Bombyx mori: one gene and its partners. The protein of the gene in region 2 interacts with the protein of the main gene of each other region in a biochemical or structural test. Links are inferred from orthologs where the notes say so. Each region holds a gene or a part of one and is shown on either strand. Other genes may lie near its edges.

Region 1 (6,025 bases), on a different chromosome or scaffold from region 2:
GACTGAACAGTGTCAGTGCTATTACTATAGGTCAATGTGAAGGCCTTTTTTTTCTACCTAACCTGATAGCCTTGAGAGGCTATATCAGCGTAACCTTAACTAATAGGTGAGCTCACGGGGCTCAAACCTGATGACGTTGCTAACACGAACCCTAGCAAGAGCCGTGCTTCGCAGAATCTACCACTGGATCAGAAACGCGACCCACTGAGAAGATCCGGCGAGAAACTCAGTGGGCTGTGTCTGAGGGTTAATTTACTCGTCGAGCCCTTCGTCGCAAGCGACGGGTTCGACGAGAACGATGATCGGTGCTTGAGGTACCTAAAAGTACTGTTAGTGGATCGGGAGGATCCGAAATGACGTGTGTGAAGGCCATGTCATAGTATATTTGTTCAAAATATAGTTTTACCAGTTTGAAAAGTCAAACACTGACATTAGACAATGGTCATATAGTTTTATTTTCTTCATAAATACCTAATAAATTTGTGACAGGTTGCAGATTTTGGTCTTGGTCGAGCATTCGGTGTTCCAGTGCGGGTCTACACACATGAAGTTGTCACATTGTGGTACAGGGCTCCTGAGGTCTTACTAGGAAGTCAAAGGTAAAATCTTATCCAAATCAGTCAAAACCAGCCACTACAAACTCCAATATAACTTTTCTATAATGAGTAATCAATACACATTAGTTGTAATTTGGCCCAATAATGAAATGTATTTTAGAAAAAACATTTTGTTTTAAGAGCTTTAGACTTTGTTTTCTAAAAAATGGCAAGTTGCATTGTAAATTCATAGAATAGTGTGGCAATACATTGCCACTAATTGTTTCTTAATACAAAAGAATGGTCAGTGACCGTGTGGAGTTCATTATTTGGTAGATTATTTATTTATTTATTATTTATTTTGTATAATAGTAACTTGTCTTACTTTTAGATACTCTTGTCCAATTGATATATGGTCAGTTGGCTGTATATTCTCTGAGATGTCATCAAAGAAGCCACTGTTTCAAGGAGACTCTGAAATTGATCAACTCTTCCGCATTTTCAGGTGAGTAGGCATTTCGCCATTTTAGTGGTAGGCTTTGGCTATGTATTTCTGAGGTCCATGAGCAACGGTGACCACTTACTGTGATGCTTGTCTGCCTTAGATTTATTAGAGTTAAATCTTAACAACAATAATTGAAAAAAAAAAGTTTTTTATGCTCCCTTCAACAATGGAATGTAACTGGTGCTTAGAATAAAACTCTAGTTTTGGATTAAAACACAGATTGAACACTAACTAAAATATGATGTGGACATTCAAGTTTTGGTTGTTTTTTTTGGGTGTGCAATTACTACAACAACACTTATATAACAGTTAATAAATTTTAAAAAAACCTGTTGTTGGGGTAATTAAATTATAATAATACTATTTCAACTTGATTGAGTGATTTCCTTCCAATAAAAGAATGAATATAATGAAATGTTTGACTTACATTTACAGGGCAGTAAATATGATTATAAATATGTAATTTTGAAGTATGTAGAAAGAAATAGAAGACTAGTTTACATATTGTTAGCCTCTAAAACTTCTGTTTATCCATTCCATTCCCGGATGTACCTCCACTTTCTTGCGACCTTGCTTATACCTGATATTAGCTTAAATAAAACAAACTATATGTGTAAATTCAAATCAATAAAGTGTGAAATTCTGAACAGATAGATTTGCTCCATGCATAATTTCCAATGAAATGGAGATACATGAATGAACTAAACTTCTAATATGGGATTTGTGACTCCCAATTTTTTTTGAGTTAATTTTTCTGACTCATTTTCCAATTTCGTTTATGATCAATGTATATGGTATCTGCTGGAGTACACTTTTTCTTATTAGTAACTATTTAAATCACAAGATCTCTTAATTTATTAACAGAATGCTAAGAACGCCAACAGAAGAGATATGGCCTGGTGTTTCTCTCCTACCAGACTACAAGCCAACCTTCCCGAACTGGAACACGTACAATCTGCACAATCATGTACGTATGAAGCATATTTTATTTTAGATTTTTATATGTCTATTGTTCTTGAGATATTTCCAGATATATGAAAAACTAATTGAATTCTATTACATAATGAGTGACACTACTCCAGCTAGCCAAGATATTCCCTTGGGATTTTAGTGAAAGTTTATTTTAGCAGAACCAGCTGTTAAAAGTTTTGTGTGTGTGTGTGTGTGTGTGTTGTATAATGTTTTTTTAATATATTTATTCTGGACTTTGATGTCCTGTTTCTGTCGTGAAGCACTTATGCGTTCCAGTTTGTAAGATGGGACAGCTCTTATGTGATTTATATTGAAACTTCGACCTCATATCAAAACTATCTTTCTTCACTTTCTTTATCGCTCAGACTTGTGATTGAGCATGTGGCCCACCTATAATAACGGTAACGGAATCTAATAAACAGCATTTATTCATGTCATTAACGACACAAATGCCGCCACCCATCTTGGAACATAAGTTCTGAGTCCCAGTTTTACAGTACAATAGTTGTCTCGTCATTCAAACCAGAATACGTTACTGCTCGTGCGGACTTACAAGACTCCCCAACACCATTTAAGCTATATTATATTATACTAGTTATTATCAATGACGTGACTGAGTTAAATCTTTTCTTCCTACCGTCAATTGTAACGTGCATTTTTTACAGGTACAAAACCTAGACGAAGTGGGCATGGATTTGTTACAAAAGATGTTAGTCTACGATCCGGTTAAAAGAATATCCGCGAAGGACGCGCGACGACACAAGTACTTTAGAGACGTGAAACTACCTCCCGGACTGACAGTGCACGACGCTTACATCAGAGTGACGCCAGAATACCCATACGACACGGATTCTGTTCAAAGTGTATAGGAGACACGAATCATTAGAACTAGGTGTCATTTATAAAGACTACAAATATATTTTCAGAACGAATACAAAGTACAACTCAGTTGGGCTCCTCTGTCGCAATCATTGCATTTTAATTTGAGAGATTTGAGGTATGTTCTCTATACTGTATTCTCCACAATTCGCATCCAATCTCCTTATAGTAGAACCTTAATATTTAAATGTACTTTATTTTATCGAATTTGATCTAAAAATTAAATTAGTCAATTCAGATTATTGAAAAACTAAGACTAGTAAACGCGAGACGTAATTTAGTTAAAGCTTTGAACTTAAATAATTTACGTAAAGGCTTTTTAATGAATTTGTGTGTCTGTGAAGTTGGGATTTTAAACCGTCGAGAATAAATGAATAGATGTGAGTTATTTTAAAGCTATTTCGGCGAAGAGCTTAATTTTTAAATCAAGTCACTAGGTTTTAAATAGTGACCATAGAAAATTATTGTTTGATTATTATAGAAAAACGTGTCATAGTTTGTTCGAAGTTGTACAAACCTTCATAGTTTTAACTTTGAATGTTGGTTTCGTTCATTACCTTAACACTAATTTGAGAATTATTGATAGTTAATTAACCTTGAATAAATTAATTCTCGTTGTCTAATCGTGTCGTGTATACATCTTTGTGTCGTTTTGTCATGTTCGACTTATGTTATAGGATAGTATTTAATTATTTCTTCTGTAATAATATTACTGCCAAATAGTTGTCTTCATTGAACTGTTTAATAAGTTTTTACGAACGCTGAAATGCTTAATAACCTCAGACACCAAAGGCTAAAGCAGTAAACTTAGTGCATAAAAAACTAACCACAATAGTTTAATTATCATTACAAACTAACTTTGGATTTGGATAAGGGTTCCTTTCGACTAAAATACCTGTTTAATAATATATAAAACTTGCAGTATTATCATTCACGCCTTCAAAGAAATATTCTGGAGCTTGTGATGATCATAATAGTTTGTTAAATATAGTTTGATATGCGGCAAATGTGATTTATAGGATTATAAGTCCCATTCGAATAAAATCATTTTTGAAAATTATTATTTTTCAAACTATTCGCTGTGCAAACTCCCGGCGTATCAAACTGTTTTCAACAAACTATAGGACTCTGAACGGTTTTTACATACATTTATTAGTAATGCATTTGGAGATAAGTTTAACTATATTGTTCTGTATGCTGTTGAAACATCGTGTGACATGAGAAGTATTTTATATGTATTTTCATGGAAACTTAATTAATTTAAACTTAATTATCTGTCCAATTCATGTTCTTCATACACTATTATGTCATCTAAATAAATAAATACATAAGATCAATAGGTTGTACTGCAAATATTTCTTTAGTATAACAGAATTATAAATTGAAATTGTTTTAAATCTCTTCAATTAATATCTAATACCAACAACGTGTTTCTTTTTCTTCTAAAATAATTGTAAACAGTTTGTTTTTAATAGTAAAGCATAATTATTTATTTAATTGATATATATATATTACATGTTTGACGTGTGGGTGTTTTAATAAATAATATGAAAAAAGACGTTTTGATAAACTTTTGACAAGAAACAAATGTAATATTATTTTCTTAAGTTTTTGCCAATTTCTCTGGACCGCTCATAAGTTAATTTTATTTTTAATTATATGTAATGGAATGTGTATTTGATTGATAATATTTTTAAGCATTGTCTTAATTTGTAAAGTATAATAATAATTTTAATATAACTGTGTTGTTTTACTGAAACAAGAAAGTTAATTGACAATTCGTTTATTTTTTTCTAATAGAGCTATGATCAAAATTGTACATAAAATATACAGAAGAAACACTAAAGCTAAGTCATATGCTATCACCTCCTGAAAACTATTACAATATAAAACCTAATTATTATTCTGGTATTAAATAATTTACTACTGTAAAAGAAAACGTTTGATTATTATAATAATACAACAATATCGACTTTGAAAATAAAATTTAAGAAACAAAAAAATAAATACAACTAACAAATATGGGTAGCAGTACTTTAACATATGTACTTTCATTGCTTTTAAAATCCTACAATTATTATTATAATAATAAGTATTTAATTTTATTTACAGATCTATAAAAATCAACAACAAATTCTGATAAAGCTACTTATATAAAGTATGCACCGCAGACTATATTTAATTGACAGGAAAAGTACGAATAAAAATCGATTAAAATATCACCTCAAAATTTCAATCGATTATTCGATTTTATTATTAGTGATGTATGAACACGTGAGGGTGTCCCGGTTGAGGCTGCAGTATGATGCGATGCGGCACGTTGATCTCCTGCTGGCCCAGGCCCGACACCGCCACCGTCCCCGGCTGGAGCTGTTCATACAATCACAGTATACTGATACTGGTGGAGGGACCTTTTGTGAGTCCGCACGGGTAGGTACCACCGCCCGGCCTATTTCTGCCGTGAAGCAGTATTGCGTTTCGGTTTTAAGGGTGGGGCAGCCGTTGTAACTATACTGAAACCTTAGAACTTATATTTCAAGGTGGGTGGCGCATTTACGTTGTAGATGTCTATGGGCTCCAGTAACCACTTAATATCAGGTGGGCTGTGAGCTCGTCCAACCATATAAGCTATAAAAAAAATCTCTGTACTGCTAACTAATCTAAAGTGTAGGACGAAGTAATTAAAATTTAGACCAATTGTTTCACGTTGAAGTGTCCTGATATGTTTTTAGACAATATAAATAATCGACTATTAAATATTTAATTTCTTAGGAAAATTAATTAAAAATCAACATATGTCCTTTTTATATTCCTAAAACAATCATATGGTTGTGATGAGACTTAATACAGTTATTTTTTTCTACCTATTCTAGTGACTTCGAGGGGTCATACTATTATGACCGAGTACTAGTATGAGTTCACGGGGCTCTAATCTGAGGACGTTGCTAACACTGACCCTAGCAAGAGCAGTGCTTCACAGAAACTACCACCGGATCGGAAACGCGACCCACAGAGTTATTGTCTGCACACCAAGGCACTGTCTTAGCACTATCACTATGTAACGAGTGGGCTCATATAATCGGCGATGGTCTGCCCGTAATGAGTTTCACTTGAGAAATAATTAAACAAAGTG
Region 2 (7,736 bases):
AACCCTGAAGCAGTAATGCGTTTCGGTTTGAAGCGTGGGGCAGCCGTTATAACCATACTGAGACCTTAGAACTCTTAACTAAAGTTGGGTGGCGGCATTTACGTTATAAAAGTCTATAGGCTCCGGTAACCACTAAACACTAGGTGGGCTATGAGCTCGTCCACCCAAATACGCAATAAAAAAAATGTTAAAAAAAACTTTCAGGTGAGGCTTTTTTTCCTACCTAAGCTGATAGTCTTGAGAGGCTATTTCAGCATAACCCTAACAAGTAGGTGAGCTCACGGGGCTCAAACATAATGACGTTGCTAACACTAACCCTGGCAAGAGCAGTGCGCAAGCAGCGGATTCGACGGAGAACGATGACCGGCAGGTGAGCCCTAAGTTTATTTGCCACTCAATAAATCTTAATCATAATTTGGTATTTTTCAATGTTCATCTTAGAGAGTCTTAAATGAATTATAGTGCCACCTATTTAAATTATAATAATAATGGTAATGGCTGGGTAATGTCTAAATATCTTGTTTTAATCCATATTTTTATGATTCTCATTTTATCATCTGCAGAACTCATTAACAAAGCCAAACAAAGCCTTTGGCCTTAATAGAAAGTAAGTAAGGTCAGTGGATATTATTCTTAGGGACATTAGTTAAAATAGTGGTGTATCTTATCTAAGATATGCCGATGATACAACAATCCTTGCAGCCAGCGAGTCCGAGATGGCTGCGATCTTGGAGCGAATAGAGAGAGTTAGCCTTGAATTTGGCCTGCACATAAACCGCTCTAAGACCAAAGCGATGACGGTGGACAGAGCTCAAGTTTTAAGTCCATCAAATGCGCTCAAGGATTATGAGAAAGTGGAGGAATTTATATACTTGGGGTCGCTGATCTCTAACAGTGGTAACTGCGAGAAAGAAATCGGACGCCGTATCGGGATGGCTAAAAGTGCCATGACTAGCCTCAATAAAATCTGGAAAGACCGTAATATTCGCCGAGTAACTAAGATGCGTTTGGTTCGTACGTTGGTCTTCTCTATCTTCCTGTATGGGGTGGAGACTTGGTGTCTCAGGAAAAAGGAACGCAAAAAGATCGAGGCCTTTGAAATGTATTGCTGGAGAAAGCTGCTACGCATTCCTTGGACAGCTATGAGAACCAATGTCTCCATCCTCGAAGAGCTGAAGGTCACCAAGCGCCTGCTGACTATGTGCCAGGAATGGATCCGGAGTTTTTTTGGGCACATAATGCGATCCTCATTGCACAGCCTGGAGAAACTCATAATTCTCGGACAAATAGAGGGAAAGCGCGCTAGAGGAAGAGCGCCAGCTAGATGGGTGGACCAACTCAAGGAGGTGACTGGAGGCCAGATACAGGGAGCGGCACATATGGCGCCTTTACACTCTCAGACAATATCACTTGTACTTGTAATGTTACTTGTAATTGAATATGTTAGATAGTGAATTAAAGAATATTTAATATTTATTATATTCTCGGCTAGATTCCCTTCGCCTATCCACTAAACAAATTCAAAAAAATCTATAAAATGGCGGGAATTAATTGAGACTTCTGTCTGGCCAAACTCCAAAGGGACATTTTGGTTAAAACTGTTAAAAGTTACTGAAACAAAATAAATCATCATCTTTTGGAAGATAAAATATGTGAACCTATAGTCGGATTTTTTATTAGACGAAGTCAACTGACGTTTACTGTGTTGTCAGTTTTTGATGAAATAAAAATAGTGTTGTGACAAAGTGAACGATTGAAAAAACTCCTGAATTAATGAAATTGCCTCGATTGTCTAGTGAACAGTTGGTGTGCCGAATTGCCGATATCGGGTACGGGGTTCGAATTTTAGGCGTGCTTTGTACATACCAACGAGTTTTCGACGAAATATTATGTTCCTATAATATCTACCTGTACTGAATACCGAGTGTTTTAAACATTAAGAAAAACATTGCGAGGAAGTACTTGTAAGACTGTCCTATTTCCAATACATCATATAGTTGAAATTATAGATGTATAAAATATAACAATTATAGGTAAGTAATGAAAATAAAAAAGCTGATTGTAGTTACATACTACTAGCAACATATATTGGAGCACTTTAATACAATTTTATTGTAAAATATAAATAGTACTCTTTTATAGTTTGAAATTAATGATTAACTCTTCACACTCATTGTTCATTCGTGATTGAACGAGAACTGAACGCATCACTATTACTTTAAATATAGCAACATTATTTCACAAAGTGACATTAGCTACTGTCAGCTAGCTTCGTCTAATTAAAAATCCGACTATAGTGGCTTACTCGCTTGAAAAAAGTTTACAGGAATAAGAATCAAAACTAAAAAAATTAAACCATACTACCTTTTCTATTAAGATCGGTTCGGAATTGTTTAGTGCATTGTACTACTGCTGTTACTAGAATAGTCTTCAACTAACAATTTTGACCTCTACTTTAAAACAATGTGGAATGGTTTGTTGTTTTATCATTTACATGGTTATCTTTATAGTTTTTTCTGTATTAATTAGAATTTGTTACATTCAGATGATCCTTCTGGAGGTGGCTTCCTTAACACCACAAATCAATTTGGAAATACGGCAACACCCAAAAAAACTGTAAGTTTACAAAAAAATAAAATTCAATTGATTACGAAAATTTAATATATTAATAATACATTTATTCACAGGGTCGTAGAGCGGCACGGACAGCACCTATAGTCATCAGGCAAGCTTTGCATTCTGGAGAAGAAGGTGTGAAAATATGGGGTACAGAAATTCAAATAGTGTCAATAGTTGCAAGAATCAGGAGCATTAGAATGCAAAGCACTAAAATAACATATACAATCCAAGATATAACAGGGAGGATGAGGGCTGTACTCTGGCTCGACCAAGAGGCTATGGAAGTTGAAGTAAGTGAAAGTTACTTCCAGTTTCAGAGTAATGTCAATGTAAACGAAATCATTAATTAAAATGAGTTAATCCATTAATCATGTCCACAATCATGGTAATAAAAAAAATAAAAAAATCTCAAAGTCAGATTAAGTTATTAAACTTATTCTGTGCTTTTTGAATATTTAAGTATATGCCATTTTGATTCTTTAGATATTGAGTATTTTACATAAAAAAAAACAGATATTAAATCTTTCTGAGCTTCAATTTCAGGATACCTCATCACCTAAAGTTCAAGTAAATGATTACATACAAATTTACGGCAATGTGAAAACGAATAAAGGGACAAAAGTGCTCATGGCATTTAAGATAATGCCAGTTACTGATGTCAACATTATTACATTTCACTACTTTCAGTGCATTCATAATAAAATACAAATGGAAGCTGGCTCAAAGAAGGTAATTCTAATATACCTGGTAATCTTAAAATTTATTATTCGCATTTCCATTCACCATAGCTAAAGGCAGAAGTAACTACTTATAACACAATATTTTGAGGGGTTAAAGACTATTTGGTTTAAGCAACATTTAGCTTAATACACATGAATTTTGTATTTGAAATATTTAGTTCTTGTATGTAACAAAAAGAGTTGATAATAATTGTCAGATATTTTTATTACAGTACAGTACATAAAAATATGTCATAGTATAGTATTATTTGTTATTGATTCTTCAGCAATGTAAATGATGTCTTCTTCATCAGCAATGACTTACCATTTCAATTTTCATATAAAATGAATTTCAGCACATCCAACATGCTTCTCCTTTTTTTCAGTTTTATTTTAAAATAATAATCTACTATTTTCAAACTTGAACCCTTTATTCTGATAAAGACAGAACTACAAATTTAGTTATCATTCAGCTCTTGCTAGTGCATTTGAGTTGCATCATTGCTGTGGATTATTATGTCCCATCATGAATGGTGCTTCCGCCTACATGTTTTTTGCTATACATTACTTCATAAATTGGATTTTATTTTGCAGGAAAAAAATATTCAAGATGTCCCAATTAACAACATGCTGCCTGCAAATTCAATGGTTGGAATTACTGAAACCTCTTCAGTGAATGGCTTAAATTCTCGTCAGATGATGGTCTTCAACCTTATCCGTGGCTCTACTGTTGAACAAGGAATTAGTAAACAAGATATGTATGCCTCACTGAAAGATCGAATGACAAAAGTTGAATTTGAGTATGTATTTTTTAATCAACATACTAAATTTTAATTCAAACATTTTTACCCCAATAAATTATAACTGATAACTGATAGTAAATGATAACTTAAAAATAGAGTTGAAAGGAAAAAAATAAAGCAGTTAGATTTTAAATAAATCATCACAATCAGCCCCTTTTCTTAGGAGTTTAGTGACAAACACACATACAAAAAGATTAAATCTATCTTCTATCTATCTATATATAAATTATTTGCTGTTCGTTAGTCTCGCTAAAACTCAAGAACGGCTGGTCCGATTTGTCTAATTTTGGTCTTGAATTATTTGTGGAAGTCCAGAGAAGGCTTAAAAGGTAGATAAATATGAAAATCCTCAAAATTAAATAAAAATAACAATTTTGTTTTTACTTTGATGTGTCCCTTGTCGGACGAATTCCTTTTTTTTGTTTTAAGTTTCTTTTATACAAAAGTTTAGGTCTTTTATTTATCGATTGAGGCACTACAAAGTCTGCTGGGTCAGCTAGTATAATATAAAAATTTAAAATTAAGTATAGAAAAATTAAAGGGTTTTAATTTTTTTATGATTACTTGCAGAAACATTTTGGAATGGATGTGTGGAGAAGGTCATATCTACTCAACAATTGATGAAGAGCATTTTAGAGCAACTGATGCATTTTAAAAGTTATATATTTCATTTTTTAAAACTTTTATGTAATAAATATTTTGTACCAATTTTTTGTTATTGCTCTAGTTGAGCTAATTTTAAACCTGGTTAGTGAATAGGTACCAAGAGTGTTCCAGGGGTACACCAAAATCAGAATTATTTTATTCAAGTAAGTATTAATAGATACTTGAATCAGCAGGACTTCCATCTGACCCTGTAGACAACACATCCTGAAACAAGATCACCAATTATACAAAGCGAGATTTTCACTTTGTGTAACCAGACCCGCGGCTCCACCTCGAGGACGCCCGACCGACGATTCATTGAGGCGATGATCGACCACCAATGATGCCGGTTTCCGCGGTACGTCGGCCCTAAAAGGTCGCCCGGGCATGCCGTGGCGTTTCGGTATACCCCGCTGGGCCAGAACCAGCCAGCCGAGTCGGAACGCGATACATCACCGACCGGGTTGCTCTACCACAGTATGTTCGGCGACGACGGCAATGGGGATCGCTGCCGACAACGCTTTGTCCCATCCTCCTGGTACCAGCGCCCTAGAGTAACGGCAGCGTGCGGTGCAGCCTCGACCCCCTCAGGTTGCACCTTGGCCACCACCGGGAGAAGATTGCCTCCTCACAGGAGCAATGTCTATGGGTTAAGCATTACCAGGGGCAGAGCCAACCTGCTGCCTATCGTTAAAATTTCTCCAGGATTGAATTGGACCAGTGGTTGTCTTCACGGATGCAGATTTTGATATTTTTATTTATTGCCCTTGTAGGCAGACGAGCATACGGCTCACCAGATGGTCAGTGGTAACCGTCGCCTATGGATTGCAGCAATGCCAGGAGCAGAGCCAACCTGCTGCCTACCATTAAAATTTGTCCAGGATTGGATTGGATCAGTGGTTGTTTTCACGAATGTCGATTTTGAGATTTTTAATTATTACTCTTGTAGGCAGACGAGCACACGGCCCACCTGGTGGTGAGTGGTAACCGTAGCCCATGGACTTTAGCAATGCTAGGGGCAGAGGCAAGGCGCTGGTTACCGTCCATTTGATTGTCCATTGATTTGAACACCGTAAACCTTTTTTTCTCCATGACAAAATTCGTAAAGCTCCAACTCTCGACTGCGATCACTGAAGAAAACGTAGCGATTTTTATGCGATTCATTGAAGAACATCGACATATCACAAGGATCTTGAGGATTGGATGCTGAATCAAACAAGAGTCAACAAACAAATGATATAAATACATTTGTCTGGTTTTTTTTAAAATAATTATGACTGATTACAATTAAGATAACGTACATTGTTTTTTGTATCCCAAGGAACAAGTCACTGACACCATCCATCCAGTGAGTCTTTAAAACTTTACAACAGATCCATACAGTGAGTCTTTACAACTTCGAAGTTCAAAACGTTTTTCGTATTGACATTTTGAGTTTTACGTTTAGCGTAACATTGCCGTTATAACAAATTAGTGGTAGCAGCATCAAAAGACTTTCTTTGATGTTACTTGATTGTTAATATAACATTCTTTTGAACTGGTAGCAAGCTGGATTTTTATATGTAGGCAAATGCCTCTCTAATTACCAATCATGTGGGCCATATGCTTATTATTCATGAACATTAACACAAAATAAAACTGATTCCTCTTTTCATTTACTTTTATTTAAAAAAATAGAAAATTTTGCTCATTTTTACAGGATAAGCTGACGTTAGCCCATCCTAATAACTTGATCAATAAAATACCGCTTTTTCAACATACCTTAATGAAACTAATAAGATCTCAAATTGTACTAAATTAGCTAGTACATAATTGTGGTTTTTTATTATAAGATAAAATCTTTCTAAAAGTGTTTGTATTGTAAATGAATATTCTGATTTTTTTCATTTATGTTGGTAGATTACTCTCAGCTTCAGGAATGTTTACGGAAAACTTTAGTACAAATATACATATAAATCATACAATTTATTTTATTATAGTTATTTTATAACTCATCCCTTAGAGCTTTGTTTTTAATATCAGGTTTCTTTCCTGGGTATGTTTGACTTTCCAATTGAACTTCTTTAAGCTCCTCCTGTTCTAATAGAAATTCTTTAGCAGTCCATGCTTGAGATCCATCTTTGAACATGAAAATGGCTCTGTCATCATCTATTAAGTACCTAAAACAAAACTTCCTTTAACTAAAGCCACTCATACTGGGGTATGGGATCTGGTAACATTTGACAAATGAGCAGTTTGTTTGACTATCTATGCTGTTTAAAAAAATCATATCAATTTGATAGGAACCTCTGAATTCACCCTGATTATGCACACATGCATGTTTGTGTAATATTATTGACATTCTGTTTTATTATAAAGCAAGGTTTTTAGTTTCAATGACAATAAAATAAACTGAATTAAGGGACTCCGCAGGTAAATAGATATCCATTCAATTAGTTACTCTTTCCTGCTAAAACTTCAGATAAAGAGGCAATAGGGCTGCATCTTCATTACCCAGATGTTAAATTTAATAAGGATAGTACTAAGACTGTTTACTGGTAATAATAACTTTGACTAATTTCAATTTTGAATAACAGAAACTGTTACCAGAGGCTACAACCCAAGGTGTCTTAACAAGTTTCCTTGTCAAGCAACATTGGTGTTTGTCTCATTTTTTATAAAAAAGTAACAAACTTGATGATGTTGAATTACAGGAGTTGATTAACTATACTGAGACCTTAGAACTTGTATCTTAAGGTGGGTGGGGCGTCTACGTTTTAGATGTTTATGGGCTCTAGTAACCACTTAACACCAGGTGGGCTGTGAGCTCATCCACCCATATAAGCAATAAAAAAAAAAACAGGAATTATTGCTTCATTGAAAAATTCACTATTTCACATTACCTTGATCATACCCTGATATGTATATTTATTACTGCTTATATGATGGTCAATGAGCTCCAGTCAGCGTC
Region 3 (5,497 bases), on a different chromosome or scaffold from region 2:
TGTACATAATATGGTAACAGCCCTAAAACAATCTGCAATCCCAATTGGTGGTAACCTTAGGACTATGCTCAGCAATCATGCGTTACAATTTGTTGAGTTGTTGGATTGACACAGCTGTGACTCTTAGATGTCCAGCTGGACAACAGTGTGCTATGAGCAGCTATGAAAGCTAGCTAAGACATAATATCATGCAATTGTTGAGGACTCTGTAATGTCATCTGGCTGTGACTATTGTGCTAGAGATACTCAAGTGTGACCACCATTCTTCAAATAAGTATTTATCTTTAGTGAGAAATTTGTGGGTAAAGAGCTCCAAAGATGCAGGTGTGTGGATGAGCTCGCAGCCCACCTAATGTTAAATGGTTATCAGAGCCTGCAATTTTATTATACATAATTATAAGATGGAACAACAGCTGGTATGAGGCCAACTTTCATTTCATTGCAAACAACCGCTAAACAGTTGTGTACCCAGGTCTGATACATGAGGCTGTTGATAACTAAGACTTTAAGCTGATGTCTCAAGGTGAGGGGTGGCATGCATGTTATGATGTATGGGTTTCATGGTGAGGTTTCATGGTGAGGTGGCGGTGTATCGCGTTCCGACCTGGCAGGCTGGTTCTGGCTCAGCGGGGTATCCCGGAACACCAGCGTCATCGCCCGGGCGGCTCGGTAGGGCCGCCGTACCGCGGAGACCGAAGTCGTTGGTCGTCGACTATCGCCTCGACGACCCGTCGGTCGAGCGTCCTCAGGGTGGCGCCGCGTGTCTGGTTGTAGTGTTGACTGCAGGAACCCCTCTACTCTGACCGGGTATTGACCCCGAACGGAGATCGGACGTCGGGTGTAAGAGTGCAGGGGAGTCGTTTAGTGGGTGTGCCCTAAAATTCCTTGGGCCCGCTGTCTGCTTCCAACACCTTGCAGATCGTTGAGTCCCACATAGCCCGCGCGCCCCATAGGCGCGGGGACCTCGTAAGAGGTTCGGGCCTCGGCCCGAAAAAAAAAAAGTCTGAGGTAAAGGATTTGTTAAATTAAATTAATTGGAAATTCAAATTTTAGATAATTATTATTTTGCGTTGTTTGTTGAGCCATCAGCAATTCTACCACTCGTCTTCGTTTCCAGGAACATTACCAACACACCTTCTATGTAATCAAGAAAAGGATGACTTAGACCAAAAACATTTTCTCTGTTCCCAGGTAACCCAATGACTACGAAAAATGAGCCAGTATCCCACCGCACAGAGCCAGGGCACAGAGTCACCGGGGAGTCCAAATATATTCGAAGAACCGGAGCAAAGCTTCGCAGCAGCAGAGAATGACAACCACATAGATCTGCCGTCGACTAGTCGAAGCCATGATCACGATCCCTCCGAGGGTCCGTTAGATGTGCCCAGCGATGAGCCCATACAAATAGACTTGGCCGGTCCCTTGAGGTACGACAACGATGACAGCAACGACACGGTGCTGAACATCATCATTAACGGACCAGGACACCTCCCGGCTCAGAGCGAGGACAGCAACCTCACTTCACCTCTCACCTCATTCAGCGATGAGAGCACGAGACAATCTATAAATGAAGATTCGAATAGTTGCGCTTCGATCAGATTGAACCCCAGGCCCCCTGATGACATCGAACCCCCAGCCAAACTCAGGAAGATGAACGAAGTCGAAGAGGTCGACGGCGAAACCTGCCCGATTTGCTTGGACTCGTGGGGTAACTCCGGTGACCACAGGCTAGTAGCACTGCGCTGCGGTCACCTTTTCGGTTCAGAGTGTGTGGAGCGCTGGCTGAAGGCTCAGAAACTAAAAGACAGAACGTGCCCGACCTGCAAGGGGAAGGCCAACTTGAAGGACCTGAGGTTCATATACGCGAGGCGCTTGGTAGCGGCGGACACTTCGCAAATTACGGCTCTACAAAAACAAGTTGAGATTCTTCAATCAGAGAAGAGCAGAACCGAACTGGAATTAGAAAAGATGAAGATAGCACATCGCGCTTGCGTGCAACAGCTCGAGGGCCTACGGAGCACCCTAATGAAGTCTCAATCTAACAAGGAGCAGCCTTCCAGGAAGTCCTGGAGGTTCGCCTTGGAGAAGAACCTTGAAATATGCAAGGACGGAGGCTGCAGAGTCCTGACCTACAACTGCCGGACCTACGAGTTGTATGTGTCCCAGAAGAGCGTCAACTATCTCTTCCCTGGATTCGGGATAAGGAAGATCAGCTGTGTCGACTACAAGCTGGGGCAGTTCGTCCATCTGCACCCGAAGCCGATCCGCGACATCACGTACTCCCAGCACCGGGACCTGCTGCTGAGCGTGGCCCTGGACAGCACGGCGCGGATAGTCGAGCGCGGCATCCTCAGCGTGACGGTGAACTCGGGCATGCCGCTCTGGTCCTGCTCTTGGGACAACTTGCGCAGCAACGAGTTCTACGTAGGCGGCGTCGGAGGCGTGATCCACCACTATGACGTCAGAAACCCTAGCACCTACTTACGGATGCTGAGCTCTCCGGGGGACCTGTCACCAGTTGTGTCTTTGTGTTCCACAGAATATGGTCTCTTGTCGTGCCAGTTGAACTCATCGAAGCTGTGGGCGGTGAACACAAGGCAGTGTGAGCCGAGGGTCTTGCCCGTGGAAGGATCGTTCATGTCTCTGGCCTATGATAACGCGTCCCAACGCGCCGTCATAGCGTCCAGACCGAGTTCGAATGGTCTAGAAAGATCTAAGTTGAGCGTCTGTAAATTGAAACCGAGCATACCGAACGGCGAAGTTATTTGTGACGTGGTAGAAACATTCTCGGGGTCGCTCAGGTCCTCGTTGATGTCCAAAGTGGCCTGGGTGAGGTTAGCGAGCTCTGCGTGGGTCGCCGCTCATTCTGAAAGCGATTCAGCGCTTTATTTGCACGGCGTCGACGGCACGCGGACCATGTCCCTGCCCGCGTCGGAGCCCGCGCTGGACGTGTGCTCGGTCGAGACGAACGGAAGCAATATACTGGCGGCTCTGTCAGAGTCCCGACTCAGGCTGTACAAGGCGGTCCCCACCAATACGTGACACGATTACACCATTCCATATTAATGTAACTTTTATATTGCTTGACGACGTTGTAGCGTTCAAATTGTCTTGACAGCTGTCATTTTTGACAAGAGTCATGAAAAATTAAATTGAGTGCTTGTTGTCTCTTTTGCTCCCGAAGCTGTGACTTCAGCATGCAGCGTCTATGGTCACTTGCTTATAACAACGCGCTAAGTACTTTGATTTGTATAAATATAATAATTCTTAAATGATATTTTAGACTTTGTAATATAATTTATATTTAAAATGTTTTGTAAATATTAATTGTGTTGAGAAAGTAAAATTTAAACCTTGATACTGTGTTATGTTTCTCTTTGTACACCCATATTATAGAGCTGAAGTTCTTACCCACAGAGCCTCAAGTTTGAACGTGGTGCATGGTGCATGAGGCAGGTGGTTTCAGAAAACTGAGTTATGGTATGTTTACCAAAATCAAAGACGCGATTGTTTAAAATGTCAAGAAAACTAATTAGATGAAAGAATTATATTAATATTAAGTGTATTAACCACGATATTAATTATAGAATTTTGCTATATTAATGGTATTCAATTTGAATACTCTTAACAAGGTAAATAGCTAGTTAATTTTTGTCTTTGACAATAAATAATGCTTTATATATTCAAATAGTAAATATGGAACATTCTTTCTTAAGATTAGGCTTTAAAAGAAAGGATCTTCGCACCAGGTCGATCGGCAGTTCATGTACTGGTATCCAGTAAAATAGATAGGCATTTTGTGAAAAATTCACCAGTCAATCTCCTTCGGATCCTTCCGACCTGCAGATCAGACCCGATACAGGCTTCGCCCAATTTAGATTTTTACTTAGGATAGCATACTGCATTAACTGTGGGAACCAGACTTTTTTTTGCTAAATATCTTCTTGGCTTGGCCTTTGTAGTCATAAGCCTTTTCTGGACTTTGATTTCACTGTCAAAATCAATATTGTCAACTGTCGATTGAAACTTGTCAAAACTCAAAACTGAAAATAAACAGTAGGTCCACTTTTGTTTCTAAGTTTCCAATACGAAAGTCTGTTTTTTTGAAAAGAAATTCTTAAATTTACCACATTAAAGACGTTAATTAAGTAACATTTTTATAAAACTCATTATTTGAACCAGTACAAATCATCGTAAAAACGTAAGTAACAGTATTATTTGTGAGAAATGTACCGTGTGCGCGAATGAGGTCACCACCATTGATTAGGTTTTAAAAAAAGTAAAATGATTTTTTTTATTTTCGGTTTTCATTCAAAAATTCCTTTCTTTTGCGTCATACCAGAGTTTCATTCTATATACCTTTTTTCTCAGCGGTTCTAAGCCCCTGATGCGGCCGGTCTACGTCCGTGCCGGGCCCACGGCCCACGCGTGGTCACGTCTCTTTTAGATAATTAAACCAGTTTGCTCACCATAGCAGCTTAATATTAAATTCTGTAGTGCGCATTTACTCTCGTATCTAAATTATAATTTCTAAAGATTAATAAGCAACGGTAACCGCTTACATCCCATCTCTCTGGTGCTAATTACTAAAACTATTGGTCTATATTTACTCCAACTGATTGTCTGAAGGGAAGCACCATCCACAATATGGTTAGGTAAGCAACTTGGCCATGTTAACTGCTTACTCTCTCTAGTAAGAGTGCTAGAAAATAATTGTAAAACAATCTCTACAATAATGTAGATACCTGACTGTAATTGTGTGGCACTTAAACATAAATTTGACAATATAAGAAGGTTTAGAGTTTATAATATTGAAATGTTTAAAATAACGTAAACAACGATATCCACATGGTCTTAAAATTAATTTTAATTTTATCAATACCTCGCTAAAACCTAACAAAATACAATGATTAGTTGTAAAACTGAGAGTAAAGGGAATGAGTGCTCATAAATAGCAGCACTACGCCAAAAAATTATTAAAATATCAATTCAAAATCGTTTTTTTTTTGGTAATGTTTTCTTTGCACACAACAAATGAAGAATGAAAGTATTTCAGATATGTTGTACGTTATTGTGGATGTTTGAAAAATTTTGGGGTAGTTTTTGCACTGGTAAAATTGACAGTGATTGTATTAATGTAGTTATTGAAAAATTAAGAAAATATTTAATAGGTCAGACTGTATATATTCTATAATAGTTTTATTACAAACTCTAAGTGACAGTCATTTATTTGTAGAAATAGAAACGCCATTTATGTTACGGAGCGTAACAAACAATTTTGGAATTGGGTGTAGTACACTTGGGTGTAGTAAGAGCAGACAAAAAATAAAACAATCAGTTCCTTTAAATTGAACACTCAGGAAAAATCATTCACGTCCTAGAGCCATAGGGTAGAGTGTGGCAACATTGAAGATGAAATTTAAAGAGCAAAGCGAAACAAAGTGTAACATTCTATGCCTTAAAGACTTTTTCACTACTACTAGGTATATAATTGATA

The links.
Region 1: of the proteins of Rpa2 (region 2) and Cdc2, one has a biochemical effect on the other in vitro, tested with the Homo sapiens proteins (2 studies listed by BioGRID). The link is inferred for Bombyx mori from reciprocal best matches to the Homo sapiens genes RPA2 and CDK1.
Region 3: the proteins of Rpa2 (region 2) and E3 ubiquitin-protein ligase RFWD3 form a complex in vitro, tested with the Homo sapiens proteins (3 studies listed by BioGRID, with this or other methods). The link is inferred for Bombyx mori from reciprocal best matches to the Homo sapiens genes RPA2 and RFWD3.

What each region holds. Positions count from the first base shown.
Region 1 is NC_085122.1:10,042,850-10,048,874, reverse strand, and holds the end of Cdc2 (cell division cycle 2), read left to right. Parts: intron 1-489; coding exon 490-599; intron 600-927; coding exon 928-1,041; intron 1,042-1,905; coding exon 1,906-2,008; intron 2,009-2,678; coding exon 2,679-2,882; 3' UTR 2,883-3,886; downstream 3,887-6,025. Other genes in the region: zinc finger protein 431, read right to left, coding at 5,149-5,262. UniProt on the Homo sapiens protein: Plays a key role in the control of the eukaryotic cell cycle by modulating the centrosome cycle as well as mitotic onset; promotes G2-M transition via association with multiple interphase cyclins.
Region 2 is NC_085114.1:7,172,448-7,180,183, forward strand, and holds Rpa2 (replication protein A2), read left to right. Parts: upstream 1-1,524; 5' UTR 1,525-1,660; intron 1,661-2,295; 5' UTR 2,296-2,463; coding exon 2,464-2,473; intron 2,474-2,545; coding exon 2,546-2,616; intron 2,617-2,687; coding exon 2,688-2,909; intron 2,910-3,162; coding exon 3,163-3,348; intron 3,349-3,932; coding exon 3,933-4,138; intron 4,139-4,711; coding exon 4,712-4,796; 3' UTR 4,797-4,828; downstream 4,829-7,736. Other genes in the region: LDLR chaperone boca, read right to left, coding at 6,771-6,945. UniProt on the Homo sapiens protein: As part of the heterotrimeric replication protein A complex (RPA/RP-A), binds and stabilizes single-stranded DNA intermediates that form during DNA replication or upon DNA stress.
Region 3 is NC_085117.1:97,084-102,580, reverse strand, and holds the end of E3 ubiquitin-protein ligase RFWD3, read left to right. Parts: intron 1-1,191; 5' UTR 1,192-1,212; coding exon 1,213-3,042; 3' UTR 3,043-3,358; downstream 3,359-5,497. UniProt on the Homo sapiens protein: E3 ubiquitin-protein ligase required for the repair of DNA interstrand cross-links (ICL) in response to DNA damage. Plays a key role in RPA-mediated DNA damage signaling and repair.